Linked DNA regions of Saccharomyces cerevisiae S288C. The gene in region 1 interacts genetically with each later gene. Each region holds a gene or a part of one and is shown on either strand. Other genes may lie near its edges. The genes, in order: RXT2, IXR1, SSD1 and SET3.

What was found.
Region 2: mutations in RXT2 (region 1) and IXR1 together harm fitness more than expected from each alone (negative genetic interaction), as found in Saccharomyces cerevisiae (4 studies listed by BioGRID, with this or other methods).
Region 3: mutations in RXT2 (region 1) and SSD1 together harm fitness more than expected from each alone (negative genetic interaction), as found in Saccharomyces cerevisiae (5 studies listed by BioGRID).
Region 4: mutations in RXT2 (region 1) and SET3 together harm fitness more than expected from each alone (negative genetic interaction), as found in Saccharomyces cerevisiae (6 studies listed by BioGRID, with this or other methods).

What each region holds. Positions count from the first base shown.
Region 1 is NC_001134.8:433,906-437,294, reverse strand, and holds RXT2 (Rxt2p), read left to right. Parts: upstream 1-1,596; coding exon 1,597-2,889; downstream 2,890-3,389. Other genes in the region: ubiquitin-binding serine/threonine protein kinase VPS15, read right to left, coding at 1-344; YBR096W (uncharacterized protein), read right to left, coding at 582-1,274; PBY1 (putative tubulin tyrosine ligase), read right to left, coding at 2,998-3,389. UniProt on the Saccharomyces cerevisiae protein: Component of the RPD3C(L) histone deacetylase complex (HDAC) responsible for the deacetylation of lysine residues on the N-terminal part of the core histones (H2A, H2B, H3 and H4).
Region 2 is NC_001143.9:376,969-385,349, reverse strand, and holds IXR1 (DNA-binding transcription repressor IXR1), read left to right. Parts: upstream 1-3,491; coding exon 3,492-5,285; downstream 5,286-8,381. Other genes in the region: MAE1 (malate dehydrogenase (oxaloacetate-decarboxylating)), read left to right, coding at 625-2,634; TTI1 (Tti1p), read right to left, coding at 6,778-8,381. UniProt on the Saccharomyces cerevisiae protein: Binds to platinated DNA and confers sensitivity to the anticancer drug cisplatin. Activate the expression of the COX5B gene.
Region 3 is NC_001136.10:1,042,984-1,053,216, forward strand, and holds SSD1 (mRNA-binding translational repressor SSD1), read right to left. Parts: upstream 6,410-10,233; coding exon 2,657-6,409; downstream 1-2,656. Other genes in the region: SRP101 (signal recognition particle receptor subunit alpha), read right to left, coding at 163-2,028; sphinganine-1-phosphate aldolase DPL1, read right to left, coding at 7,476-9,245; HDA2 (Hda2p), read right to left, coding at 9,640-10,233. UniProt on the Saccharomyces cerevisiae protein: Can suppress the lethality due to deletion of SIT4, and partially the defects due to BCY1 disruption. Is implicated in the control of the cell cycle G1 phase.
Region 4 is NC_001143.9:494,664-503,642, reverse strand, and holds SET3 (histone-binding protein SET3), read left to right. Parts: upstream 1-3,809; coding exon 3,810-6,065; downstream 6,066-8,979. Other genes in the region: SPO14 (phospholipase D), read left to right, coding at 1-2,299; GMH1 (Gmh1p), read right to left, coding at 2,540-3,361; SAP190 (Sap190p), read right to left, coding at 6,285-8,979.

The DNA.
Region 1 (3,389 bases):
AAACTCAATCTGTCATATAAATTATTTTTTAAGTGCTGCCGTATCATGTAGCCGGCTCTATTTGTCTCGATCAATTTACTGTAGTTTAAAACGTGCGGTAGTTGTCCCAACTTAAACGATTGAGCCCTTATACGTTGGAGAAAAGGTCGTAAGCTATATTGGTCTTTTGGTTTAATAAACACTTTGATAACAATTTCGCCGTTAGGGTCCAGTGCCTTGCATGTTTTTAAGAATCTTGATGAGTTTAACTGTGAAACGTAGTGTACTTCCTCTAAGACATCGATATATGAAAAAATGGCTATGGAAGGTGATGCTTGGACCACTAGTGATAATTGTGCCCCCATTATACTGTATGCCTTCCTTTTTGATAACCTTACAGCTTTTGTATTTCTCCAATTCAACTTGTCTGCTTAAGTATCTTACTTAAGATATATCTGTTTTTCATTTTTATGATGTTGAAAAATAAGGGAAATTTACCTTGTTTTCTACCGAAGATAAAATATAACGCAGACTGCACAGAGAAACTTTTGAAAGAAGATAGATTTATATATTTTATAATACCGGCTATATGTGTATAGAAGTTAGATTTCTGAACAGTACTCTTGGCTCAAGTTTTCCAATGGTACTGTCTCGTGGAAACCACAACGCTCGGTTAAAAGCTTTAGATTGTCCTCAGAAATTTTGGCGACCTTCTCATTATATAAACCACAGTATTCAAGAGCATCCTTTGGTTTGATGGTCTTTCTACCGTCCTTAAGGACGTATTTGGTCAATGATAATGAGCATAAGACGGTGCCCTTTTTAATTGTGAATCTACTCATGACGTAAATCCATTTCTCATCCCAACAGATAATCCTTGATGAAACCGAGTACTTTTGAAAAGGCTTGATTTCCTTCAAGAAATTAGTGAAAACGTTCGCAACTGGAATATATGGATAATGCTTGGAATTCAGCATCAATTTTTGAAAAATCTTGCACATGAGATTACCTCTTGAAATGTCCAATTCCGCAAAATAGGTGCTATTGCTCTTATGAAAGTAGAAGTCACATTCGAATGGAGAGGCATAGGTATCTAGGCTGGTGTACGAGAAACAGCCATATTCATTTTTCTCAAGTTTCTTAATATTCTCGGTTTCAAACCCTGTAAACATAGGCAAGAACAAGTTTTGAATAACATAATAATAAAACCTAACAAAATATGCCCCAGGAAGCGACTTATATGAAGAGAGCAAGTAAGCAGCAAAGAGCCACCTAAAAATAGTGCAAACACCCATTATTCTATTATTTTATTTTGTTGTAGATATTGGAAAGCACTAGTTACTCGAGAAACCTTTTGGAAGTCTTGAAATTAGAAGCAATTGTTTTACAAAATTACTAAAAAGCCTTTAAGCGGATAATTATAATGTTCACTTTATAACGGCGTTATTCGAAGATCATTATTGTCTCCTATACCCAAGAGGACCGAAGCCGGGTAGCGAACTTTGTTCTGGTAAAACAATCGCTTTCAAATAGAAGAAACGTTGCTTGATGACAGCATCTCCTGCAAAAAAGAGGTTGAGAAACAAATATCTCAGCTGTTGCTTCTTGTTGATCGAGATGACTATTAGGAGCAGTATGAAAAACAACGCAGAATTGGAAAGCAAGAGTGTGTTAGCTAATGAATCGAATATAATTAGCACATTTACTAGAAGGATAATAAAGGAAAAAAGCGGTAACTATCAGGTACTGAAAAGATCCCTTGATGGAAAACTAATCTATCCTGAGGCCACTGGCATATCCTCTAACAGAGGTAACAAACTTTTGCAGAGAAGCGAAGTAGTAACAAGAAGAGACTTGAACAATTCTAAGCCAATGATTGAGCAAACTGTGTTCTATAACGGTTCGGAGCATCGCCTTCTGCAAACAAATATTGTCACTGATAGTAGACGCAAAAGAATAAAATTCACACCTGACATCAACGTCGAGCCTGTTTTAGTCGGTGATGAAAACGACATCGATGGTAGTGAGAAGGAAGACGAAAATATCACTGATGAGTATTACGGCGAAGAAGACGATGACGACCTATCAAAACTAGTGAATGTAAAGGAGATTTTGACTCCCATTCTTTCCCTAGGGGATATAATAAATCATAAAACTATCTCAAGGACATTTTCAAGCCCAATTTTGAAAAATTTAGCCTTGCAAATAATTCTAATGATTGAAAAAGAACAGATGTCAGTTGTTAGATATTCCCAGTTTTTGGAGGTTTTTTTAGGAGATCATCCTGAACCAATTTATGAATCTAACTTGAACCTACCATCTTATAATCACAATTTGACCCTTCCAGAGGATAGAGGGGCAAGCGACGAGGATGACATTAACAACAAAAACAATATCAACGAGGTTAACTCGAATAGTTTGTCTACTGAAGCTGGTCATATCAATAATGGCATGGAAGAATTTGGAGAGGAAGATCCTTTTTTTGCATTGCCAAGGTTGGAACAATCTAATGCGCTGTTATCGTTGCTGCCATCTTCTTCCGGTTCTGCTTCTATATCAACATTAACAGCGGCCGAACAACAACAGTTAAATGAGGAAATTGAGTCTGCCCGACAGCTGTCGCAGATTGCACTACAGAGGAATAAAGAATTCATAAGAAACTTACAAAAAATCAGAAAGTCTGTAATAAAAGCCAATAGAATAAGAGGTAGGATTTTAAATTGGAGTCGGGAATATTTGGGTATATCTGACGATGATATTACTATCCCGGTGGCTCTACGTGTTGTGAAGAGAGGTCTGATCAGTGCTACAACAAATAAGACAACAAATTTTGAGGAAGAAATTGAAAATACCATGGAAGACGGTGTTGTAGACGATAATGAACCTGATGAAGAAGCTAATAGAGCCTAAATTGACAAAACAAAAAATTTCGGAAATAAAATCAAGGCATATGTATTATTTAGCACTATTTAGTAATAATAACAGTATTTTAGGATGGGTTCTTTTTTTTTTTTTGTTTCACCAACCGTTTGAAGTGTAATCAATGACTTTTACGAAGTTCGGGTCTGTTTCATCATCTGTCTTATTTCTATTCTCGTTAAAGATGGGGGTAACACAGTATTTGACAGTGTCATCAAATAATTCATCAATGAGGTTCTTCAAATCTTTCCCAGTTTGTTTGAAGTCTGGGAAAGCGTTGATCTCTAGTAATTTAACTTCGTAATTCGAATCAATCAAAAAGTCTACGCCATATGTTTCAAATGCGTTTGGTAACGGTTGGAAGTTTAATCTATTTACATTTACAGCAGCTAAGAAAACGTCGTTCGTTATGCTATGGATTTGCTCCTTAATATTGGACTTTCTCTCATTTGGAATTTCCTCTATGGAGTCAAACTCCAAAACAGAAGAAT
Region 2 (8,381 bases), on another chromosome or scaffold:
TTCGTTTCGATGTGTGCAAATTGAATATTGCATCGTGCATTGCAAGGTTTTTCAAATTCTTGCGTCTTGTCAACCGTTCAAGGCGATTGAAAGATATTCACTGCATATCTTCTTATACGAAAAGCATCGAAGAAAAAACACCCATACAACCAAGTATAGACGGAACAATTCGGGTTTTTACTCTTCCCTAGGCGGTTTAAATCGGATATATGAAAAGAAATCAAAAAAAAAAAAAAAAAAAAAAAAGAATTGGCGCATTTGAAGTTTTATTATCGTACGCGTTATTGTTTGCGCTAACATCGCATCGCATCAGCTGACTGAGTGACTGAGTCCCCTTGGCTTCGACTCATCATCGCCTTTCTATGGTGAAAAATTTTCGCAATTTCCTATTACTGTACCGCGTATGCTCCATTTGACTTCCTTTGGTCTACAGCTTTAGCGCTATAGAGTTTCGAAGTCGTACCCGTTACCGGCATGATTGACATATTATATATATATATATATGCGTATCTTTATACTTACTCGTATATTGTGTCCAGCTTCGGATATTTGTGCTTTTGAAACCTACAACTTTTAACGAGTTTAGTGCACATAAATACCAAGACAAAAGGTAGAAATACGGTTATGCTTAGAACCAGACTATCCGTTTCCGTTGCTGCTAGATCGCAACTAACCAGATCCTTGACAGCATCAAGGACAGCACCATTAAGAAGATGGCCTATTCAGCAATCGCGTTTATATTCTTCTAACACTAGATCGCATAAAGCTACCACAACAAGAGAAAATACTTTCCAAAAGCCATACAGCGACGAGGAGGTCACTAAAACACCCGTCGGTTCTCGCGCCAGAAAGATCTTCGAAGCTCCTCACCCACATGCCACTCGTTTGACTGTAGAAGGTGCCATAGAATGTCCCTTGGAGAGCTTTCAACTTTTAAACTCTCCTTTATTTAACAAGGGTTCTGCATTTACACAAGAAGAAAGGGAAGCGTTTAATTTAGAAGCATTGCTACCACCACAAGTGAACACTTTGGACGAACAACTGGAAAGAAGCTACAAGCAGTTATGCTATTTGAAGACGCCCTTGGCCAAAAACGACTTCATGACGTCTTTGAGAGTACAGAACAAAGTCCTATATTTTGCATTAATAAGGAGACATATCAAGGAATTAGTTCCTATCATTTACACCCCAACCGAAGGTGATGCTATTGCTGCCTATTCCCACAGGTTCAGAAAGCCAGAAGGTGTGTTTTTAGACATTACCGAACCTGATTCCATCGAATGTAGATTGGCTACATACGGTGGAGACAAAGATGTAGACTACATCGTTGTGTCGGATTCGGAAGGTATTCTGGGAATTGGTGACCAAGGTATCGGTGGTGTACGTATTGCTATCTCCAAATTGGCATTGATGACGCTGTGCGGTGGTATTCATCCCGGCCGTGTGCTACCTGTGTGTTTGGACGTCGGTACTAACAACAAGAAACTAGCCCGTGACGAATTGTACATGGGTAACAAGTTCTCCAGAATCAGGGGTAAGCAATATGACGACTTCTTGGAAAAATTCATCAAGGCCGTTAAGAAAGTGTATCCAAGCGCCGTTCTGCATTTCGAAGATTTCGGTGTTAAGAACGCTAGAAGATTACTAGAAAAGTACAGGTACGAATTGCCATCATTCAACGATGACATTCAGGGCACCGGTGCCGTCGTGATGGCCTCGTTGATTGCTGCTTTGAAACATACCAACAGAGACTTGAAAGACACCAGAGTGCTTATTTACGGTGCCGGGTCTGCGGGCCTCGGTATCGCAGATCAAATTGTGAATCATATGGTCACGCACGGCGTTGACAAGGAAGAAGCGCGCAAGAAAATCTTCTTGATGGACAGACGTGGGTTAATTCTACAATCTTACGAGGCTAACTCCACTCCCGCCCAACACGTATACGCTAAGAGTGATGCGGAATGGGCTGGTATCAACACCCGCTCTTTACATGATGTGGTGGAGAACGTCAAACCAACGTGTTTGGTTGGCTGCTCCACACAAGCAGGCGCATTCACTCAAGATGTCGTAGAAGAAATGCACAAGCACAATCCTAGACCGATCATTTTCCCATTATCCAACCCTACTAGACTACACGAAGCCGTTCCTGCCGATTTAATGAAGTGGACCAACAACAACGCTCTTGTAGCTACCGGATCTCCTTTCCCACCTGTTGATGGTTACCGTATCTCGGAGAACAACAATTGTTACTCTTTCCCAGGTATCGGTTTAGGTGCCGTACTATCGCGTGCCACCACCATCACAGACAAGATGATCTCCGCTGCAGTGGACCAACTAGCCGAATTGTCGCCACTAAGAGAGGGCGACTCGAGACCTGGGTTGCTACCCGGCCTGGACACCATCACCAACACTTCTGCGCGTCTAGCTACCGCTGTGATCTTGCAAGCACTCGAGGAGGGAACCGCCCGTATCGAGCAAGAACAAGTACCGGGAGGAGCTCCCGGCGAAACTGTCAAGGTTCCTCGTGACTTTGACGAATGTTTACAGTGGGTCAAAGCCCAAATGTGGGAGCCTGTGTACAGACCTATGATCAAGGTCCAACATGACCCATCGGTGCACACCAACCAATTGTAGACGAAGCATAACCAACGCCTGCACTTAAAAAAAAAAAACCATATAGAGTAATATATAAATATATATATTTGTACAATTTTTTTCTTTATTTTTAAAAAAAAAATAATACTTGACATACCGTAATAATAATAATAATAATAATAATAATAATAATATAATAATAATACAATAATACAATAATAAAAACAATAACAACAGCAACAATAGCACAAGAACATTAACCCAAGCAACTAGCAATAACAAGAACGGTAATTATCAAAACAAAATATGATACCAAATGCGGAAAAAATCGGCACATATCCATAAAACATACACATCGTGCTTAGCGATCTACATACCGTGGAGGAATGGGTGGAACGGTTACTGACGACGGCCGCGCGGGGTTTTGTGTTGGGTGTGATGTCCGGATGCAACAGCAGCAAAGGAGAGGCGCAGCGGACCTTCCTTACTTTCTTTTTCTTCTTTTCTTTTCCACCTCCCCTTGGTGAGAGAACGAATGGGAACAAAAAAAAAATGCACACATCAGCTGGTGGAGCCAAGTATAGACACGGCCCGGCGCATTCGTTCTCTCTCTCCTTCTGTCTCTCGTTCTCGCTGTAAATGTGGTTTACTTCGTTATCCTCTGTACCGTAATCGTACTGCATTGTATTCTGTTTCCTCTACTGCTAGGTCACTGCCTAACAGCTACTGCTACCGAGACTGTGACGCTGAAGTTTATTCGCTCTGATATCCCACAAAGAACTCTATTACACACAGACAAGGCAAGGCAACGCAAGTCAAGGCAAGACCACAACTATATCCCCTTCTTCTATCCATTCTGTGATATACGTACGACGCTAACAGTACCCACAACTGCAATGAACACCGGTATCTCGCCCAAACAGGACGACGCCTCTAACTCCAACTTACTCAACATAGGCCAAGACCATTCGCTGCAGTATCAGGGTCTCGAACACAACGACTCCCAGTACAGAGATGCTTCTCACCAGACACCTCACCAATACTTGAACCAGTTTCAAGCCCAGCCTCAACAACAACAACAGCAGCAGCAGCAGCAACAACAGCAACAACAACAAGCGCCTTATCAAGGTCACTTCCAGCAGTCGCCTCAACAACAACAGCAAAATGTTTATTATCCACTACCTCCACAATCTTTGACGCAACCTACTTCGCAGTCGCAACAACAACAACAGCAACAACAACAACAACAGTATGCTAATTCGAACTCAAATTCAAACAACAATGTTAATGTTAACGCGCTACCTCAGGATTTCGGTTACATGCAACAAACCGGATCGGGCCAAAACTATCCGACGATCAATCAACAACAATTTTCCGAGTTTTACAACTCCTTTTTAAGTCATTTAACTCAAAAACAGACAAACCCTTCTGTCACGGGTACAGGCGCGTCTAGTAACAACAACAGTAACAACAACAATGTTAGTAGCGGCAATAACAGCACTAGCAGTAATCCTGCCCAGCTGGCAGCCTCCCAATTAAACCCTGCCACGGCTGCTGCGGCCGCCGCAAACAATGCTGCTGGCCCGGCTTCGTACTTGTCTCAGCTCCCACAGGTGCAGAGATACTACCCGAACAACATGAACGCTCTGTCTAGTCTTTTGGACCCTTCCTCTGCAGGAAATGCTGCAGGAAATGCCAACACCGCTACTCATCCTGGTTTGTTACCACCCAATCTGCAACCTCAATTGACTCACCACCAGCAGCAGATGCAGCAACAGCTGCAATTACAACAACAACAGCAGTTGCAGCAACAGCAGCAGCTACAACAGCAACACCAGTTGCAACAACAACAACAACTTCAACAACAACATCATCATCTACAACAGCAACAGCAGCAACAACAGCATCCAGTGGTGAAGAAATTATCTTCCACTCAAAGCAGAATTGAGAGAAGAAAACAACTGAAAAAGCAAGGCCCAAAGAGACCTTCTTCCGCTTATTTCCTGTTTTCTATGTCCATAAGAAATGAGTTGCTTCAACAATTCCCTGAAGCAAAGGTCCCCGAATTGTCTAAATTGGCTTCTGCAAGGTGGAAAGAGTTAACGGATGATCAAAAAAAACCATTCTACGAAGAATTCAGAACCAACTGGGAGAAGTACAGAGTTGTGAGAGATGCTTACGAAAAGACTTTGCCCCCAAAGAGACCCTCTGGTCCCTTTATTCAGTTCACCCAGGAGATTAGACCTACCGTCGTCAAGGAAAATCCTGATAAAGGTTTAATCGAAATTACCAAGATAATCGGTGAAAGATGGCGCGAGTTAGACCCTGCCAAAAAGGCGGAATACACTGAAACTTACAAGAAAAGATTAAAGGAATGGGAAAGTTGTTATCCCGACGAAAATGATCCAAACGGTAACCCAACCGGTCACTCACATAAGGCCATGAACATGAATTTGAATATGGACACTAAAATCATGGAGAACCAAGACAGTATCGAGCACATAACCGCAAATGCCATCGACTCAGTTACCGGAAGCAACAGTAACAGTACCAACCCAAATACGCCCGTTTCTCCTCCGATTTCATTACAGCAGCAGCCGCTCCAACAACAACAACAACAGCAGCAACAACAACAACACATGTTATTGGCTGACCCCACTACAAATGGTTCGATCATAAAAAATGAATAACAAATAAACAACTTTAGTTTTCCACTGTAACATTATCCCACGCAAACAACGAGAATAAGGAATTCCTTTTTCAACATTTGTTTTATATTGTACTACTCTATTTCCTATTACTACAAATTTTACTTTATTTAATAATAATTTTTCTTTCCCTTTTTCTAACTTCAGTCTATATGTATTTGCCTGTATACATATACGCATGTGTGTAGTCTTCCCTCCTTCTTGTTTTTGTAATATACTTAAGCCAAATTCAAGTTTGCCTCTGATGCTGTGCGAGCTCAACTGACGAGCGTGATGAAGCCAAAAAAATTAATTGATTTCGCCCAGGATCGAACTGGGGACGTTCTGCGTGTTAAGCAGATGCCATAACCGACTAGACCACGAAACCTATTAATCTGTAAAATTGATCATTTTAAAGTGGCATAGTTGTACGATACACAAGGGCGACTTATCAACTTACACATAAAATATGTTTGAAACATGTCAGAAACACTCGTTACAAAGCAGACAAAATTTATTACATCAAACGATACCCTGCCTAGACAAACCAGTTAAACGTGTAAATACCTGGACAACTAGTTTAGTTCCGAGATTCTGCGCTTCCATTGAGTCTTATGACTGTTTCTCAGTTTTCATGTCATCTTTTGACGCCGCATGGGATAATGTGTACTAATAACATAAATACTAGTCAATAGATGATATTACGATTTCACTCCAACAAAGGTGAGTGCTAGTCACCACCCTAAGGATATTAGGATTGTCAAGATGCCCGCTATTACTGGAGCCCTTAGTATAACGGATATTTTCAGGATAGCAGACTTACTTCTCCAAGTGTAAGGGAACTCCGAATCTAAAGTAGCTACTGCTCCTCCATTCCGTGTATATAATCTTGCTTTTTTTTAGGAAAATACTAATACTCGCATATATTGGTTATTATCATTACTTGGACACTGTCTGTTCTATCGCTTCATTTGTAATATGCGTATTGCCCTTCTTATTAATTGCTAATATTTCACCTGCAACATAGTCCCTGTTGATTAACGTGTTTATCCATTTCAATCATGAGAAATGTTTCTTCTGTTTTCCAATGCCTGGCCGAGCTGGTAATATATATATATATATGTACATAATACTTTATTAGAATATATTGTTGATGATTAGTAGACAAGTGGTACTACCAACCGAGAATAAAAGCTGGTCTTCTTAATATAATATGAGATAGGTATAAATAGCAGTCACCGATATCATTGGTTACCCAAAGTGACAATTCATGTCTTTCATAGATATAAATCGTAAGCTAAAATTGAATTAAAAGATCTTTAATTTAGCTGCCCTGCTAATTCTGAAGTCACATATCATTCCTCATTCTGGATCACTCATAACATTTATTGTCTAATTACTTATTGTAATCACTATAGTCACTGGTGTGAACAATGTGAGCAATAATAAACCACTGTATTACCATATACAAATGCATATGTTTAGCCACATAAGTTTAATTTATATTTCTTATTTTCCACACGATATCCCCCACTATCAATGACATAGATGATATTTTCTCCACTGGAACAACCTGAATACAACAATATATTATTTGTTCAAGTACCGCTTCAGAAATTAAATACTCTGTAATTTTGACCCCTTCTAGCACCATATGTACCATCGATACTAGCGCATTTTCAGTTACTGGTGGGAATTTGACATGCTTACTAATCGATTTTTTCTCATGGTTGTGCACCGTTGGATCAATCCTCAGTTCTTTCAATATAAAAGAATCCTGACACAGTTTCTGCCAAAGTTCAATGAATCTCTTGGCGACAAAATCACCAGAATATTTTATCATCTGCTCCACGCATGAACATGCGGGCTGAACGATCGAATAATCAGAGCATAGGACGCACTGTATGATGGAGTCCCATGTACTAGCAACCTCCCTTATCAACAGATTATGCTGTGTTGATAGCAAGGGAAATATAAGCCTCATAACAATAAGAATTTGCACTCTTAATCGTTTTGATGGATGGGTTAATAATCTTTCCCCATAACCCAAAATTTGCAATAGTATTTTGTATGAATCTGATGGTATAGGTGAGGTCCACTGGTCAGTATACTCTTTAGAACTTCCTTCCACCTCTTCTTCTCTTTCTTCTTCATCGTCGTCGCTATCTGGCTCTCTTAATTTGGAGTCGAAATATTCTTGAAAATTACTGGGCTCATTATCATCCTTCAAAAAATCGACGTCGTTCTCGTCTGTTATGTCATCTTTAACCTGTGTCTCTTTATCTAGTATATTGAGTACTTGCTGAAAATCGGTCATACCCCAGGGCGAAAAAGTACTTTGTGAAATGTGTTGATTAGCTATTTTCAAAATCATCTCATCATCATTGATATATTTTTTCTTCATCTCCAAAATGATGATTTTAAATAGTTGGAAAAATTGAAGACAGAGATCACTATATCCATGATAATAATCCAGTAGTTTAAATATCGTTTCAATAACATCTTTAAAATTTTCAATGGTTTCATAGCCAGCCAATTGGCAAATCACCATTAATATTTGGCTCACTCGTTCAGTCATCCCAGAATTCAATCTTGAGGAAATAGATTCTACAAGATAATCTACGTTGCTTAAGATCATGTTTGGGATAGACCCATGATATAGGGTATCTGCTATCCTCAATGCACAGGATTGGCTCACATACCTAATGGCTTCGGACGGTGATGCCAAGGCGTCAACTACTGTGTATATATAGTCAATCAATTCTGGTTGAAATTCTTCTCTCATTACCGCACAAATCGTTTCAATAGAGAATAAAACTGTACATACGGCAAACTCATCACTTTTTTTTATGCCTTTACCTTCAATCTCCATGCTAATGTCTTGAGAAAGTTCATTGCAAAATTCCAATACAATCAAACACACTTCTTCAACCATGGAAGAGGAATAGTTGGCATCAGATTCAAATTGTAGATAGACTTCTTCCTCCTTCGGTTGCTTTTCCATAGCCTTTATAAAATTGGTGCTTAACCACAGCGCAACTATCTTCTGCGTTCTTGGTGAATCAACTTGTTCTGAAATCAACTCTGTCACCACATCGT
Region 3 (10,233 bases), on another chromosome or scaffold:
ACCGAATATAAATACTCTATTCTACTACTTGTAGATTCACTTGGTGGAAAGAAGTTACATCAACATTCTGTCACCTTGTTGATGCACAGAAAAAAAGACACTTTATTATTGTTGAATAACATTGTCTGTGGTATATATATATATACTATGATATTACAGTTTTTAAGACATTAATGTATTAACAGCCCATTTTACGCTTAATGTCCTCAAATCGGTATAGGTTTGTCCCACGCCAACGAATAAGATAGGAATCCCCGTAGCATAAACCATATTTACCATAGTACCCAGCATTTCACCAACTGTGTCACACTTGGAGATAATAAAGAAGTCAAGATTTCTTCCCTTTCCGAAGGCATCATTAAAATTTTTGGCTTGCTGGACAGAATCAGTACCTACTAAAGCCTCTCCAACCATAATGATTTTATCTGGCTTGGCTTGGTCAGCGAAAGACTTCAATGGCGACATTAAAGTAGGATCATTATGCCTTCTCCCGGCAGTATCCATTAACACTATATCGAAGTTTTGATCACGAGAATATTTGATGGCTTGCTTTGCAATTTTGGTTACCAAGTCAGATCCACCATAACCAGCTTCAAATAGTTCAACGTAGTCATTACCAGTTTTACCCCTTTTGTTCTTGGAGCCACGAACGTGTGAATCATCCATTAGCTGTGCCAAATTTTCAACATGGACCCTTAGTTGCTCAACTGCACCAGACCTAAACGTATCACAAGCAACAATTAAGACCTTGAAATTATTTTGCAGTAACCAAAACGCTAGCTTTGAAAGATTTGTTGACTTACCAACACCATTAACACCAACTATAGAGAACACATAGGGATCACATTTACCTTCTTCATCCTTTTTGCTTCTTTTGCTCTGAATTTCACGGAGGAGATCAACGGATACACCAGGCGTTAATATTTGAGTTAATGCTTTTGTTAAAGATTCACGAGCAGTATTCTCAACACTGGTCCAATTTGCAGTTTTTGAGCCTACAAGATCATGTGAGACTTGCTGTGTTAAATAGTCTGCTGCCTCTGGTGCTACATTTTTGGTTATCAATTGTTGTGTTAACTTCTCTAATACAGATTTCAAATCACTTTCATTGATCGTTTTGTTACCTAGAACGTGTTTTTGAAGGAATCCAAAAGCTGTACTGACGTATCCAGAATTTTTAGCTTCGTTCCCACTAGTTATCTCGTCTTTATGAGAAGACAAAAGATCATCAATTTCTTTGATTAAGAAATCGCCTCCTTCTGTTCTATCCCCAAAAGAATCTTTATTAATAGTGGAGTCTAGAGCTACTTGGCTACTATTGTGGCTGTTGGATGATGAGAAATCTAATTTGGCTGCATCTTCATGATTCATTTCATCAAGCATGCCACCATCACGGCCCCACTTTCTCCCACTACCAACATTTCCTGTAGATTGCTTCTTACCTTTTGTATCCCTCAATTTTTTCTTGGTATTTTTATTATGCGATTGGGGTACTGATCCATTTTTGGTAAAATTATCTGGATTGATATGGTCTTGTTTTATTGACTCTTCATATTTTATCCTAAAATATTGCTCAAATTTCTTCAGGTCGTCTTCAATTCCCTGAAGAATATCGACGTAGTTATGCTTGTTCTTTTCGTTTTGGCCCTGACGATTTTTTAGAATGGATTCACTTAAATGCAATGAGTTCCAGAGTTTTAACACCAGTGCAAGTGTTTGTTGAGTTTCTTGATTAAGCTCTAAAGTCTGCTCGGCAAAAGTCACTACGAAATACAATTCTGGTTGCTTATTCAAATAAAATAGTGCATTAAATGAAGGAGAATTTTTGTGTTCGCTGTTGATTGTTAAAAGATTGAAATCAAATCCGTCTGTATTTGCGTTTGCAACACTTTCTTTTCTAGTTACTGGGGAAGTAATCAGCTGGGATATAAAGCTGTTAATTTGTATTTCAGAAAACTTTTTTCCTAAACAGTTATATTGGTAAAGTACTTGACCTTGAGGGGTAAAGACTGCTAATTGGTCGAACATAATCAATGCACTTATTGAACCGTGAATCTCCTATTGAAAAAAACTACTTGATGAAGTAGCTGAATATTATTCAAACTGTGAGAATACCACAAATCTTTGGCTACAGATTAAACGCTGACGAAAAATTGGTTTATTTATTTCTATCTACTTATTGTACGACCTCAAATGTTTACGCAGTAGTTTCTGAAGTACGAGCAAAATTGCTCGACGATGATTTCGTTATTGTTTCCGGAAAAATTACCCAGCGCATAAAAAGTAAGCTTTCAGTACTTCTCTTTGATGATATTTGTACAGCAAAAGGGTATTTAGTAACGGAATAAATTTAATATATAAGAGTATAAATAACAAAAGACAATATAAATTGAAAAGTTGTAAATATTGAAAAGAAGGCTGCATTATTGTTTTATGTATTTTTGGGAAAAAATATATGACTTAACGAGGTCGAATAAAAAAATTTGGATGATGCCTTACCGGAACGTGGATTAAAAGGAGAAGTACAAAATTCATGCAGTTGTTAATGTTCGCAGGAAATAAAAACAAAGGGAAGGGATACTGAGGGGTGAAGCACAATCCAAAGAACGAAAGTGAAAAACAAGAAAAACAGCAATGACGATATTGGTAGAAGAGATTATACCCTCTTCATGAATGGATTTAATGCACGGACGGTTAAACATGGCAAAGCCATCCCCACCTCAGCTCTCAATAGAATAGGAATCTTTTGCAATTCATGTATTTCTTGTATATAGTTATCATTTTCAATTCTGGTTTCAGTAGTAGAAATGAATTTTTCTAAAGCATTTTGCTTGTTGTCGCTTGCAGATGGTAGCCTTAAATTTGGTACTGTTAGATGCAAATCGCTGAGTTCCTTACTCAATGGATCGCTGATCAATGGTTCAGATTCCGCTTCTTTATCTAGTTCAATATTCGCAATCTCAGCGGCTGTGGATCTGAATTTGTTCTTAATGGAATTTCTATAGGATTTTGGATTTTTTTCATCTGCTGGTATAAAAGTTGCACTATCTACGCCGGGCTGCCAATGCAATTCCAAGACACGATTGGTACCATCAAACTCAGCTTTGATCAAAGGTAGTTGATCTCCATGAACTCTCTTTTCAATACCAAATTCTGGAATAAATACATCAAAGGAGGACTCGTAAACTTGTAAGACAGTAGCCATTGTTAATAATTGTCCTGTAGTATTTCCCATGTCGTTGATTGTTTTACACAACAATAGATGAATTGCTTGTTCCTGTGCTTGATAAGCACAGTCCTTTTTAAAATTACAATATTCGGAGGTAATCTTCAAAGCTTCCATATCTTCGGTGTATGGAGTATCGTGGATAACGGCCTTTAATTGCCTATGAACGACATGATCAGCGTATCTTCTCATTGGCGCTGTGAAATGTGTGTAGATAGGTAGGTTCAAGGCATAATGCCCATATTGGTCCGGGTCTACTTTGCCAGCAATAAAGTATCTAGCTCTTGGCATGGTTTTAAACAGTAAAATTTCAATTCCGACTCTAACATCGTCATCTTTAATTTTTAGCACCCCTTTGATTAATTCATCCGCCGTATTGGTATCAAAATTGTAACCAAAATTTTGAATTTTCTTTCTAAATGACGCCATCTTGGTTGCAATGGGTTGCATCTGCCTTCTCAAAAGAGCTAGATCACCAAGTTTGGTGTAAATTTTCTCTGCAACAGTGGAGTTGACCTTTCTTTTAATCTCATTAATTACAACAAAGCCTAAAGTTCTATCCAGGATGTTCAAGTCAACCTTAACTTTTTCGTCATCCAAGCTTTCCAATAAGGACAGGGTGGGAAGTAATGTAGCTTCTGGATCATTTATTCTTCTAGCATAAAATGATCTAGCAATTTCCTGTACAGTAGAGAGGTAGCTAGTGGGACTTCCAGTAGATAATTTTTCGTCTAATTGTTCTAAAGACAAGATGTTTGAGGGGGAAATTGTAGATTCGCCTACCCAAGTAGATTTAATCCTTAAAGTAGATGAGTCTAGAGTGTAAACAACCGACAGCGTGGCTGATTCCTTGCCAGGGGCCAACGACAGTTCGTCGTTGAACGATTGTGGTAATAAATTGACAAGTTTTTGTGGCATGAACACCGCAGAGGACCTCTTTCTCGCACGCCTATCAACAGAGGAGCCTTCTTCAATATGGCTGGTCACATCAACAACATGACAACCCAGCTCTAGGGTACCATTTCCGTTATTCCTGACATGTAAGGCAAATTCAGACACCCATCCAAGCTCGGAAATTGCAAAGATATTGTACTCATTAGTGTCCGTAAAATTCCTCCTATATTCTAGACTTTCAGCCGTTAATGGTAGCGGCTGAAAACTTGGTTTTTCTTTTTGCGGATTTTTTTGATCCAAATATTCATTCGAAAGAAAATTGTTATCCCTTAAAATGGAATCAATTTCAGTATCAGGATCGTGAATATCTCCAAGTTCGGAAACTAAAATACCAAATGGATGCAAAGATGTGATTGGCCAACGTTTAATAGAGGCAACGAATAACTTTTCGGAGTATTTATCAGCGTTTTCAACAAAGTCCTTTGGAGCTAATTCTGTAGGAATTGCAATTAATGGCACCTTCTTATCAGTAGGCTTGAACCAAGCAATTTTTGGGCTTTGTGGTGGTTTGTTATTGTCGCTATTAGCTTGTTGGGATGGTCTCAACAAACCTAATGTACCGCTAAATAACTGACCAGGGATACGGTCCAAAACAGCAACGACATGGCCTGCGTAAAGTGGCTTATATTTATCGTTGATTTCTTCTTCTTCAACTAATAACAATGACTGACCTTCAACTTCAACATCGTCATTTTTCTTTTGAGTTGGACGTTGTTTCAATGAACTTCTTCTCCTTACTCCTGATTTGGTAGGAGATGATAAGGAATCACTATCATTATTGATAGTAGATGACCTCTTTCTTCTGACGGATAAATCATCCTTGCTTAGCGAATCAGACGAGGAGGGAGAAGATAGAAAATTGTTGCTTGTTGCAGCAGTAACAGATGCATCGTTGTGGTAATCGTCACTACTGTTCAAAGGAATTAGATCGTGTTGCATAGAGGCATCCTTTCTCCTCTTCTTTTCTTCCTTTTCTTTCTTGGACTCCCAAACATCGTCCACAACTAATAGTTCTACCGCGACTAAATCACCTTCAAGTGCTCTATTACGATCTTTGGAGCCGCAAATGTAAATATCCGCATCAAGAGCGCCATCTGTAGAGACCCAGGCATCCGATCTATTCTTTTTATTAACTCTTAATATACCAGCTACTAGTCTCCCTTCTTGGATTAGCTCTGGAATGTTGGCTTGGGGAAGGTAGGGTGCAAATAGGGACTTACGTCCACCTCCGTTATTATTACCTTGTGAACTGAAACTATGAACTGATGAATTAGAGGCACGATGTTTGTGTCCCTGCTGAAATATCGCAGGAGGTTCTAAGGTATTGAAGGAATTGTAATCCCTTGAATTAGATCCTCTGTGGCGGAATGGAGAAAGCTGCTGTTGAGGTTGCTGTGATTGGTTTCTCCAGTTGGAATTAATGCCTGGAGAATATTCATTGTTTCTTGTCTTTGAACGGCGGTGCGTTGAAGAGGTTGCTATGAATTCATCGTCATTATCCCCGTGAGAGTTTGGAGGAAATTTGAAAGAGGGAGGTGATAGGTTTGAAGTTGCGCGACGATGGCCCTGATGAGCATTTGGTGGTGGTGGAAATTTAAAATCAGATTGTTCTGTAGTAGAATTTGAGCCACTATCAGCTTGAACAGAATCTATCTTCACAGTTACGCCTGCTTCACCCCCAGATATTCTTTTAGCTTGTTCTTCCGCAGCAGCCTTTTTCGCTTCATTTAGACCTAAAGAATGTCTTCTGGAATGGCCATATATGCTGGATTGTGAACTCGTCTTTCTGTGTGAGTTAGACCCAGGATTATTGCTATTGTTATTGTTATCATATGAATTATGATAATATCCGGAGTTGTTCCTGGAGTGAGTTCTACTTCTGCTGCCACCTGCACTCATACCAGGTGAATTACCGTTTGAGTTGTAATGAGGGTGAGGCGGTTGAGGCGTGAAATGATTGTTAGAGCCAGAATTTCCTGACAGGTATTGTCCTGTCTGTTGTGCCAATTGCTGTTGCTGAGCCATCAACTGTTGCTGCTGTGCTTGAACTTGCTCCAACTGCTTCTGCAAAGTGAATTGTTCAATCATCAAATTTGTCAACTCACTTTGGGAACGTCTGTGTGCAACATGAATCTGCTTTGGGGCGTTTTTACCACCTCCTGTGGTTTGCACAAACATGTTATTTGGCTCTTGGGATCTATTGTTGTTAACGTTGCTATTTTTAGACATAGTGTATAAAGATGGAATAATTGGGCCAAATCTTTGCGCTGAAAGGTTTTTGGTGTTCTGTTTTGCGATATTAAAGTGACAAAGAAAAAGATGGAACTTGGCAAATACTATACGTTTATGAACCCTTGTCTTATTCTTCGTGCAGGCAACTTAGATTTCCCTTTGAAAAAAAGTTGTTTCTTTTAGAATAGTGGCTATGAAAAAAGTGCGCCTAATGCGGAAAAACGAGGCACCAGCTGTTCTAAAATAAGACCAAAATGTTTAGGGTACCAGAAAAATGGTATGGCGAAAATAAGCCTGGCAAGAAGACTATGCAGATAACTTTGACTATTCCGGTTTTTAGGTTACCAAAGACAGAAGAAAGGATCGGTCCCAAAAAAAGGAAATAGCTTATAAGGGAAGTTGCAGAAAATGCGCTTGAGTAACAAAAAATGTTAGAACGTAGCAAATATTCTAAAAGGAATGACAGAAAAACTTCTTACCTTTCTAAAATATAATCTCTCCTATTTCTCAGCTAGGCTCAAAATTATAATTTAGAAATTATTGTTTGCACGGCAAAACTTCGTTCCTTTGCTGTTAGAAAATCAGTCGGTGTTGGACTCTTCGTCTTTTAAATTCTTGACAAGAGAAGAGTTTTTAAATGAAAAGAACTAACGAGAAAAAACCAGGGGAAGGAGGGAAAGAGCGAAAATACTCGTGATCTAAACTCTTTTAGGTTAGTTTTCGTTGGAGGCAGTGGTCTTAAGACGATGGTGAAAGAAAGGACTTATTTGTAGAAGGATTGTTTATTTAATCCTTGAACTAAACAAATGACAAACTCAGGTCTCTAGCGTTCCTGTTCGTGGCCTTTAATAACTTGATGGCAATGGTAGAAAGACACACCTGCGTTATATAAGTTTAGTTTTCCCTTCTTTTCCTTTCTCATCCCCTCGTGAAGCGACTCGGCCCCTTTGGTCAGAAAATTCAAGGTGATACAAGTCGTCGTCCGTGACATAGGATCAGGAATCACAATCATCACATTGCACTCTCGTTCTTTAAATTATGTATGAGATTTGATTCTATATAGCTACTTGGTGGCGGTATCCTCTCCTGGACCCAACTTGTATAATGCGTCTAGGAATCCCACAATCAATTTGTCTGCAACGCCAGCAGTTTTAACGCTCCCGGCGACACCATATAGAGCGCTAGTTCCGTCTGGGGATGGTTTAGAATTTGATTCGCTCTTCAACTCTTGCACGGTAGTACGTAAAATGTCGCAGATCTCATCCACAACATGAGCGCTCAATCTCGTGAAGGCCATGTGTAGTGCAACCGGCTTTTGTAGGGCATTGAAATGCCAGCCTTTCTTGGACAACCTGTCAGATAGTTCGTGTATGTTCAAGGTCTTTGAAGAAAATGAAATGACTGAATATCTAGGGTTGCCCATTATATTCAGGTCTGGAATGTTTTCCTGGATGTATTTTTTAAACTTCATTGCTGCACCGACTATTTCTTGGCACGACTCAATGTACCCATTTTCACCCATGTTGACCATAGTGGCCCAACAACCTACGACAATAGCACCAGGCCTGGACCCTGCTAATGTAGGAGAGCCATATAACCCGCCAGTCCAAGCAGGATTTACGTAATACTGATGCATTCGTAAGTCGCTGTTTCTATACATTATAACTGACGAGCCTTTTGGTGCAAATCCATATTTATGAGTGTCACATGATATTGAGGTGACTCCCGGGACTCTAAAGTCAAGTAATGGCAGATTTTTGTAACCAGCCTTTTCCATAAATGAAACAATAAAGGAACCTAGACAACTGTCGACGTGTAAAGGAAGTTTATATTTTTGTGCTATTTTACCCAATCCTTCAATATCATCGGCAATACCATGAGGAAAGTTTGGAGCGGAACCGACCAGTAAAATTGTGTTCTTATTGATGAATTTTTTCACTTTTCCCAGGTCCACTTGATATGTCGTTGGATCTAGCTCCACGTGGCGTAGCTTCATGCCAAAGTAATAAGCAGCTTTGTCAAACCCAGCATGTGCAGTTACGGGAGCAATTATTTCTGGTTCGGTGATTCCACGATGATGAAGGGCATACATTTTAGCGCTCAGACATGCTAAAAGCAAGGATTCTGTACCACCTGAAGTTGTGGTACCACAACCTGTATCAGAAGGGGCATTAAACATTCTTAAAACCATAGAAACCACTTCGGATTCCATTTTACGTACGGCAGGAAAGACATCGGGATGTAATTGATTGGCAACGCAATATTTTTCGTATGCGATTGTTTGTAAGTGGATCAAATCATCACCACCGTGGTAAACGGCACCAGAGACCTTTCCTTCCTTCCATTGGGTATGTGGTATCAAGTCGTTCAATTTATTTAGCTCTTCAATAACATCATCCTGAGGTATCCCATTGGATGGCAACTGTGGGAAATTCATTAACTGAGAGTCCGATCTAATTAGTTCGTCTTCGATCGATTGTTTGACCTTTGTGACTTCCTTTTCTACGGTACCCCTCAAAAATGGTGAGTCCAATAACCAACGAAACAATCTTCTGGAACTATGCTCGTATGTTCTCACTGCTAACCTCACCGGCCCATAAACTTTCAACAGATAAAAAAAATTACTTATTAGCTTGTAACAAAAGATCACAAACAAATAATCCTTCAACATGTTGTACCATGGGGTATTTCTGAGGTAACCATGTATGGCTATTTTTAATTCGTTGATGGTTAGAATCATAAACTGGGCAAAGTCGCCTTCTTCCCTTAGTAAATGAATTGGCATGCCATACCAACCATTAATTGATACTGTTTTATTTGATACTCCACTCATTGTATTAGATGGAAAAATCCCTTTACAGAAGCTAGCCTACTTGCTCGGTAAAGAGGATCTGGAATAGTTATAACGGTTGGAGAGGCAAATTGAGGGTTTTATTTATATGTGTACTGAAAATATACCAATTTTTTCAATCAAAAAACCCCGATGCGGCCGGCCGGTATATATGGTAACTAACATGAAATAATGCACCAGAGTAGTTGATGAAATGTTTCTGAAGAATAAGGCGATAAACGATAGGCAACTGTGTAGATTTAAATATTTGGCCAATCTCTATGTACTTTCTCTTTTTTTCCAGTGTCAAATACTTGTAGAAACAGTCTAATTCATTAAGAAAGTATATAAAATCTCTCTATATTATACAGGCTACTTCTTTTAGGAAACGTCACATTCATGTGTAATTAGGGGTATTGGATCTTGTTGATCTAAACCGTGTACCATTTGCGGCAGCTTTTTCCACCTGGACGTTGTTTTTGTTTTTTAAGTCGTACTGTCGGTTCATTAAGGTTATGTAATTCTTTAAGAATTTGTTTCTTGCTTTAAGCGACTGAAAATCATTCTGTAAACGTTCCAGCTCCTTCTTCAAGCTTTCTGTGGAAAATTTAGTCAGTGGACCATTAACTTCGTTTTCTAAAGACTTCATTGATTCTTGCAAAATTTTCAATGTTTGCGCGGACTCTGCGGCTTTTGAAGATTCTATTTGATATTTGGAACGTAGTTCATCATTGAGCTTTGATTTTTCCGCATTTGCTTGTTGGAGTTCCTTTAACTTATTAAAAAGAGTCGCATTTTTGTCTATGTATTCCTTCAACTTGTCTGCTAAGGCAGATCCCTCTTCCAGATGATTTTCTGATGAAATAGTATTCGAGGGCAATTTGTTGAAATTCTCTAGTTCCTGCCTATTTTTCAGTAAGTGATTTATTTTATTTTGTAGCTTGGTAGATTCTGTCATCGCATGCTTCAACCTTTTTTCAGAGTCATTAAT
Region 4 (8,979 bases), on another chromosome or scaffold:
TGCTGAAGAATTGAAGAGTTTGCCGATGTTCGAAATTCTACGCGAAAAATCGACTTGTGAAACTCAAATACTTAGAAGTGCTGGGAACTGGTCTCTTGGGCTAAAGGAAACGGAATGCTCAATTCAAAATGCTTACCTGAAGTTAATTGAACAAAGTGAACACTTTATTTATATTGAGAATCAATTCTTCATTACATCAACTGTCTGGAACGGGACTTGCGTTTTGAATAAAATTGGTGATGCTCTCGTTGATAGGATAGTCAAAGCTAATCAGGAGAAAAAACCTTGGAAAGCCTTTATTCTTATCCCACTAATGCCAGGATTCGATTCTCCAGTAGATACTGCAGAAGCCTCAAGTCTTCGTTTAATTATGCAATTCCAATATCAATCAATTTCAAGAGGTGAACATTCTACATTTAGTAAACTGAAGAAACTAAATATTGACCCAGCTCAATATATTCAGTTCTTTTCACTAAGAAAATGGTCGACTTTTGCGCCTAATGAAAGATTAATCACCGAGCAGCTCTACGTTCATGCTAAAATTCTGATTGCTGATGACAGAAGATGTATTATAGGGTCTGCTAATATTAACGAAAGATCACAACTGGGTAATAGAGATAGTGAGGTGGCAATTCTTATTAGAGACACCGACTTGATAAAGACCAAAATGAATGGTGACGATTACTACGCGGGAAAATTTCCTTGGGAATTAAGGCAGCGATTAATGAGGGAACATTTAGGTTGTGATGTAGATCTTGTTGAGTTTGTTGAAAAGAAATTTGAAAGGTTTGAAAAGTTTGCTGCAAAGAATTATGAAAAACTTCATACCCTAAGTAAGGAGGGAGATAGTGGTAACAATTGGAGCGATCGAGAAATGATCGATTCCGCTATGATTGAGCTAGGTTATCGTGAAATATTTGGTTGTAAATTTAGCCCTCAATGGAAGAGTGGTCATGGAAACAGTGTTGATGATGGAAGCACTCAGTGTGGCATAAATGAAAAAGAAGTGGGAAGAGAAGATGAAAACGTTTATGAAAAATTCTTCAATTCTGTGGACTACGGTAAATCATCACGTAAGAGAACGCCTCTGCCCAAACATAATTTTGCATCTTTAGGGCTAACATTCAACCACAGGGCAGGAATTGAAAATGTCGGTATACGAGACCACAAAGTCTTAAGTACTGATCCAAGATTAAGAAAGAATGATGAACATAAAAAAGAGGTTGATGGCTACGGTCCCGATTGTTGGAAAAAGGAATCCAACAAAAAATTCAAGGCCGATGCAACTGAACAGCTAAAGGAGTGGGCATTGAACTCATTGGCCTCGAAAGTTCTTGACGATAAAGAAATGATAAAATCAGAAATTCCAGAAGGATTTTCAAATTATTTGCCCAATGAGAAAGATCTAGAAATGTATCTCACGGATAAAACTGTTACCAATAGAAACAAATGGAGTATGCTCAAAAGGATATGCTACTTGCAATATTTATCTCATAAACTCGACGAAAGAAAAACACAGAGATTGAAGAAAATCAAAGATATGAGAAGACATTTAAGTTCAAGCACAGAAAGTACCAGAAATGGGTCTAATAGTCTGCCATTAAACGAAAAGAGCAATGAAGGAGAAAGCACTAATGTCGACCAAGATATCGAAGGCGATGAATATCATAGATTGCACGAAGATATTTTGAAAAATCAAGAACTAGATGATGGTTCACTGGACGATCTACTTTCTCAGATAATTCCTAAGATCACTAACTTTAACAGTGGTGAAATTGATGACGCAAAAAAAGAAGAGTTATTGAAACTCAACTTCATTGACCCGTATTCCTTCGAGGATCCTCTTATTTCTTCGTTTTCTGAAGGGCTATGGTTCACTATAGCCTTGAGAAATACATTACTCTATAAATTAGTGTTTCATTGTCAACCCGATAATGCTGTACAAAATTGGAAAGAATATGGAGAATTTACTGAATTAGAACAAGAATTTCAAATAAACCAGGAAAAGTTGATTGACTTAGAGGCTGAAAATATTAATTCTACTACTACAAATGTTGTAGATAAGGATAGGGAAAAGGAAAAAATGAGAAAAGCCGCTGAATTGAGAATGAAGTTATCCGGTAGTTTGCTTTATGGATTCAATCAAAAGGTTTTTGACAAACATACGGCGCAGAGAATCTTGGAAAGGATCCACGGTCATTTGGTCATTTTCCCAACCGAATGGTTAGCTAAAGAAGTTGAGAGTAGAAATTGGATTTTTAACTCGGATAGACTTTCTCCAATGGAAATCTACAATTAAGGGAATATAAAAACGACCAGGAACACACCATTACCTGTATTTTCCTTTTATCTGTTATAAGCATTCGACGCTGATACATAAACAGTTTTCATTATGCATTCTTTTGGTCCATAGTGTCATTATTGCTCTTATTACTCATTGCATTTTTATACTTCAAATATATATAATAATAATATCATTATGTAATTTATGTGCTTTATCTTAAAGAACCAAATTTTTTCTATTTCCGTGTTCAATTGCTTAATAATTGTAAAAGCTTAATTTCTTGGATAAGTCGATGCCAAATAAACTGATTAAATAGATTATCGATAATCCTAATGTTGGTAAAAGTATAAAGTTCAAATTTTTCAAGAATGGCAACTGGTTGTATCCATAAAAGGTTAAAATAAAGTAATGGCCAATAGCAAAACAATATAACGAATTACCAATGAGTAAGGAAATCCAGTTTTGTAAATTAATTATGGGCAGTAGTAAAAACTGAATGAAGTATAGGCACAGTAGGATGATTAAAAATGAATTACAATGAACGTCGAAACAATAAGCCCACTCTACCACACTATTTTGGCTCGATTTGAATTTAAAATGTGACCTATTCAACAAAAGGTAAAAAATAGTTGCCATAATAAATCCAAATATGAAAAAATCTAAAATCACCATCATTACCAAACTTTTGAAAAAATGACCTATAATGCTCAAGGCCCCCATATCACTGTCGTTGTTGAAACCTGAATTATAAATCGACCAAATAATAGAACTGAGTGAAATTAAGGCTATTTGGAAGATGAAAAAGGAAGGATCATCTCTCGCCCACTGATTTTTCGTCTGTCGCTGATAATATATTGATCTATAAGCTTTTCTTGGATGGAAAATCAAATGGAACATTTCCCAGCTGGCTGTCTCGAGATCTAAATTCTTTGGCGTTTTGAAAAGCCTCCTGATTACCATCGGCACAGATTGCTGACCGTAGCCTTGTCTTGCATCGTTTTCATTACCATTATTACGCCTCCTCTGGCCTTGCGGGCCTGCTGGCAAGTCGTTGGAATAAGTCGGCAAATATGACATTGATAAATCCGTTGACTAAGTAGTGGCAATCGAAAAATTATAGTGCAAATCTGTTTCTTTCTGGCTTTTTGCAGTTATTTCAACAAAATTTAAACCTGTTAAGTTTAATATTCTAGTAAGGTCTATTGGTAATTATTTAACCGTTGGAAGTGATCGTTGTATGAAATTATCATTCTAGATTACAGGTAGTCGATACCTTTTATTATAATACTTTTATAGCATGGTATATTATTCGTAAAAAAACATTAAAGACATGAAACTAGTCCTTTGTTTCCCTGGAAATTGTTCAACCAACTCATTCATCTTACTATGTCATGATAGATGCATATCATTATCAACGACATGCTATATACAGAAAGTAGTAATAAAGGACCTTTCTAGTAAACATGATTTAAAGCGTATATACAACAGTTTTAGATCGTACTTCACAAAATACGAGAACTGAATCATGTCAGTACCTAATTCCAAAGAGCAGTCGCTCCTAGATGATGCATCCACATTGTTATTGTTTTCAAAAGGGAAAAAAAGAGCTGAAGAAGCTTCAAAAATAGGCTCTAAAACAGATACTATTGAGCATGATGAGTCTCATGAGAGAGAAAAAAAAGGAGCAATAGAAATGGCAGCAGCAGCACTGGCTACAGCATCCACAGTTTCTTTACCTTTAAAGAAAGCTACTGAGCAATCGGCGGCAGAAGCAGCAACATCCACGGCAGCAAAAGAAGAGACCGAAAATCAACCTCAAAAGCAACCTCAATGGCCGGTACCTGATTCGTATATAGTCGATCCTGACGCGGGTATAATTACATGTATATGTGATTTAAATGATGATGATGGATTCACTATCCAATGTGACCACTGCAACAGATGGCAGCATGCTATTTGCTATGGCATCAAAGATATTGGGATGGCACCTGATGATTACCTTTGCAACTCATGTGATCCAAGAGAGGTAGACATTAACTTGGCTAGGAAAATACAGCAGGAACGCATAAACGTAAAAACAGTAGAACCTTCTTCATCAAACAATAGTGCTAGTAATAAGAATAACGGTCGGGACAGAGCATCGAGTACAACTATTAGTGACGTTGGCGATAGCTTTTCAACGGATCAGGACAATACTAACCACAGGGACAAAAGAAGGAAAAGAAACCCATCAAATAATAGTATAGACTCCAAAAACGAAAGCGCTTCTGTCAATTCTTCCGATGGATTGACTTCTATGCCCAAGAAAAAAGAGCATTTCCTGAGTGCAAAAGACGCATATGGTGCAATATACTTGCCCTTGAAAGACAATGTGTTTAAAAGTGATCTGATCGAACCGTTCTTAAATAAACATATGGATGATAATTGGGTCATACAATATCCTCATAAGACCTTTAAATCTGTGTCAATTGAAGTCAAACCGTATGCTGACATTGCATATTCCAGGACTTACCCAGGCTTCACGAAATTAGGAGTTTATCTCAAAAAGGACTGCATAAAAGGTGATTTCATTCAAGAAATTTTAGGCGAATTGGACTTCTATAAAAATTATCTCACTGACCCACGAAACCATTACAGGATATGGGGTACAGCTAAAAGAAGGGTCATTTTCCATTCCCATTGGCCGATATATATAGATGCACGCTTATCAGGCAATTCAACTAGGTATTTGAGAAGAAGTTGCCAGCCGAATGTTGAATTAGTAACTATAAAACTGCAAGATACAGACAATAGGAATGACAAAAGCAGTGGAAGAAAATCAAGTAGAATAAAATTTGTTTTAAGAGCTTTGAGAGATATTTCAGAGGATGAGGAGTTATACATCAAATGGCAGTGGGATTCAAAACATCCTATATTAAAATTAATAAAGGGCATGACAATAGACTCTTTAGATGACCTTGAAAGGTATGGGCTGATAAATTCGGTAGAAACAATTTTGAGTAACGGCGAATGCGGCTGTGGAAATAATTCTAAAGATTGTTATTTATTGAAAGTGAAGAGATACGCGCAAAGTCTTTATAAATCTGTGAAATCCAGAGGAAAAATGAACAACAGATATAAATTAAATGAAATTCTCAACCAATATAATTGCAAAAAGAGACGTGAGCCACCAATTTTGCATAGGCTAGAAGAAAAGGCTCAAAATACTATAGAAAGAGCTCCAATACTTTTGAATAATTTTTATCGACAAAAATTCCTTAATCGAAATAATGGTCCAAAAATTCCTCAAAAGAATACTATTGATAGTACAAATAATCCTGATGATATTGCAAAACCCTTCAAATTCGCCTTATTTGCACAACATTCTTCTAATATTTCTGTTCCCAAAAAAAATGAAACTTCAGAAAAACCTTTAATAATTACGAAGAGCACAGATTATGACGAATCACACATTACCAATATTGAAGAATTACCAATTCCAGTTCTTTTACCAATAAACAAGACGTCAAGGCAAACTGCAAACGATGTCGAAGAGAGTCAATCAAAGAATGAACATAAATTAAGTAGAACCCCTTCTCTTTCAAATTTCAATAAAGAACTGTCAAAGGAAGCACAACACAGTCAAGCAAAAACAAAAGAAATCATGACAGAAGCTTCGGTTAATTCAAGGCGAGAATCCACTCCAGAAAGTATAATGCACTTATCAGATTTTTCGTCCTCACAACTGCATTCGAAAAAGAAATTAAGCTTTGCGGATTACAGAAAAAAACTACTGAAATAAACATGGACATTTCCTTCTTACACCTATATAAACTTAAGTATATTCAAAAGTGAATATTCATTATTCTTTATAAGATTATATTCGGTTAATATTAAATTACAAGCCTCAATTAAAAAAGTATATATTTGATGAATTATAAATGACCTATATGCGAAAAAAGTGGAGCAATAAAAAATTGATGAATAAAGGGTGAAAATGTGACAATGTGAATGTTTTAGTTCAGAAAGCTTCTTTACTTCTTGACCTATATAATGAGTAGCCCTCCTCATTGCCCATATCATTCTCTTCATCTTCATCTTCGGAGTCTTCTTCATCGCTTGATATCTCGTTATCCATTCGATCATCAACACTGGTGCCTAGTGCCACTTCTTCGTCTTCGCCATTATTATCCAATGCGGATAAAGAATTGAAAAGAATAGTCTTCGGTCTTGGTGGTGTTTTCGGGGTAGTATACAATGGATTACCAGGTCTGGCATATGACTGGCCATCATCATTAGGATCCATATAGTCATCGTCATCGCCAACACCTTCAAAGTCAAACTGATGGTGAAAAATATTCTGGTCTTGCAGTTTAGGATCTGAAGGTTGTGACCTACTAGGAAAATGGTCTGGAGGGAACAATGAAGTACCCGATGTCCATTTGTCACTCCCGTTTTCATCATTGTCCTCATTATAGAGACTATTGCCATCCCTATGTTCAGATATTTTATCGGTAAACTCTGATTCGGCACTTTTGGATTTACCATCATCACTATCATAATCATCGTCGTTAGTCTCGACGTTATTATAGTAATTTTTATTATCCACATCACTATACTCTGCGTAATCTTCTTCATTTTCTTCATTCTCGTTATTATTGAAGTTATAATATAAATCCATGTTCCCAGAATCATGCCCGTTACTAAGAAGTTCATCGTTTTCTCCATTTCCGTAGTTTTCGTTGCCCTCTGTATCACCAATTATATCCTCAGAATCAGAATTCCTAATAACATCGTCATCGCTTTCTTGGTCATTGCCAAAATCTCCCAAAACGGTGTTATACTTCTCTCTTGTATCAGCCAAGATCGTTTCACTATATTCTTTCCAAAATGGTTCCTCAAGTCGATCTGAAACAGCGGTATTGCAAAAAGTTAGCTTCATTTCATCAATATACTCTTTGAACTTCGATATTTCTTCGGCAACTAATGTCAAATGACCCATATAACCATAACGTAAACCGGTCTTTTTTTCATAGTCTTGACATGCCTTATCCGCATCTACTATCTTTTTAGTTAGGTATGCATCAACCAAATAATCTTTCAAGAGGAACCTATTATAACCAGTTTTGAGGGGACCATTGAATATTTGCTGGGCAATATCAAAAATTACATTATGCAAAAAATTATTCCAAGGGAACTCAGTGAACATATCAAGGATACTAATCAGTATCTTAGTGTCTTCTAGAGCAATCTTCAGCCTGTCTCCAACTAGCGGTTTTTCCCTTAGGCATTCTCTCACGGATTCTGTGTCAGACAAGGTTTCATCATACAACTCTACTCCAGAAGCATCATTTTCTAGCCCCTCAACTACCTTTGCGTCTGATTTCACATCTAGTTTTACACTTGATACCCCAGTATCATTTAATTCATCTTCTTCACTTCCTTGATTATTTATTTGAAGAGCGCCTAAATTTTCTGTGATATCCTTCTCTACGCAATCCTTATCATAATATGATGATTTATTGTCCACAATAGCTGTTATATTTTCCTTTTCGGTTGAAGTTTCTAATTCTTTGGCCCTTTCTATATCACGTTCTTGGGCAATCATCTCACCATTGGGCTCATTTAGCAGCGTCATATTAGAACAGTGCAATAGTTCTGCAATAAGTTCACAGATTTTAAACCTCTCAAATCCCAGAGGTTCAATATTACCGAATGGCATTTCCATTAGTGGCAACTTGGTTTTATCCAGCATATCAGCAAAATCAGGCATATGCTTAGCAAAAAGTTTGACTAAATGTATCAAGTGAATTGGATCTCGATCAGTGGGAGGGTGACTTTCTAGGGTAGTGTAGACTAGTTGGATGAAATCATAATCTGAGTTATTCTTCCTGATCAACTCTATGATAATTCCAACACCATTACTTAAGGATGTACCGCCCTTTAGCATTATCTTAATCAACTTTTCTATCATTTCTTCTGATACTAATTGCCTTGTCAATTCATTAGGACCTATTCCCGAAGCAAGTTCATTGCTTGAGTTAGTGCTTAACGTGACGAATGCCTTAATAAAATCGCCTGCCGCAGACTGAGTGGAAATACCGTATTCTGGATTAAGATGATCTAAAAGTTTAGGTATTAATTCCTGTGATTTTAGTATCTTTATGACACCCGTGGGAGAGTCAGGTTTATCCGTCGAGATAACTTTCAAAAGGAAGTCCATCAAAGACGGATTGTCAACATGTGTCAAGAACCTTGCAACCAAGCTGTCTCGGCTTAATATAAACTCTAACATCCCCGTTATATCCATATCGAGAAGTCTTTCATTTATTTTCATGAAGTAGGTGGAAGCTGGTATCGGTAAGGGAGCTGGGTGATCTAGTATCGACCACAATCTACCAAGAAGATCCTTATTTTGCATTATTGCTGCGGATATAGGCCATACATCAGCCGATAAAATTTCAGCAGCTATCCTTGCCCTTCTAGTCTCCACTTGTTCCTCAGATTCCGGTGGCAAAGTAATGCTTGTCTCTTCAGAATCAACACTTCTTTCGTCCCCAGAGTCATGATCGCTATCATTTGTAGTTTCTTCTGAGTCGCCTCCTTCTTCAGCGTCCTCCTTTTTATCCTTTCTGTCTCTTTCTATCAAAATAGGATGATCGTTTACACCTTCAATAATCTCTGGCTTTTTAGCGCTATCTGTTTCTTCGTCGAGA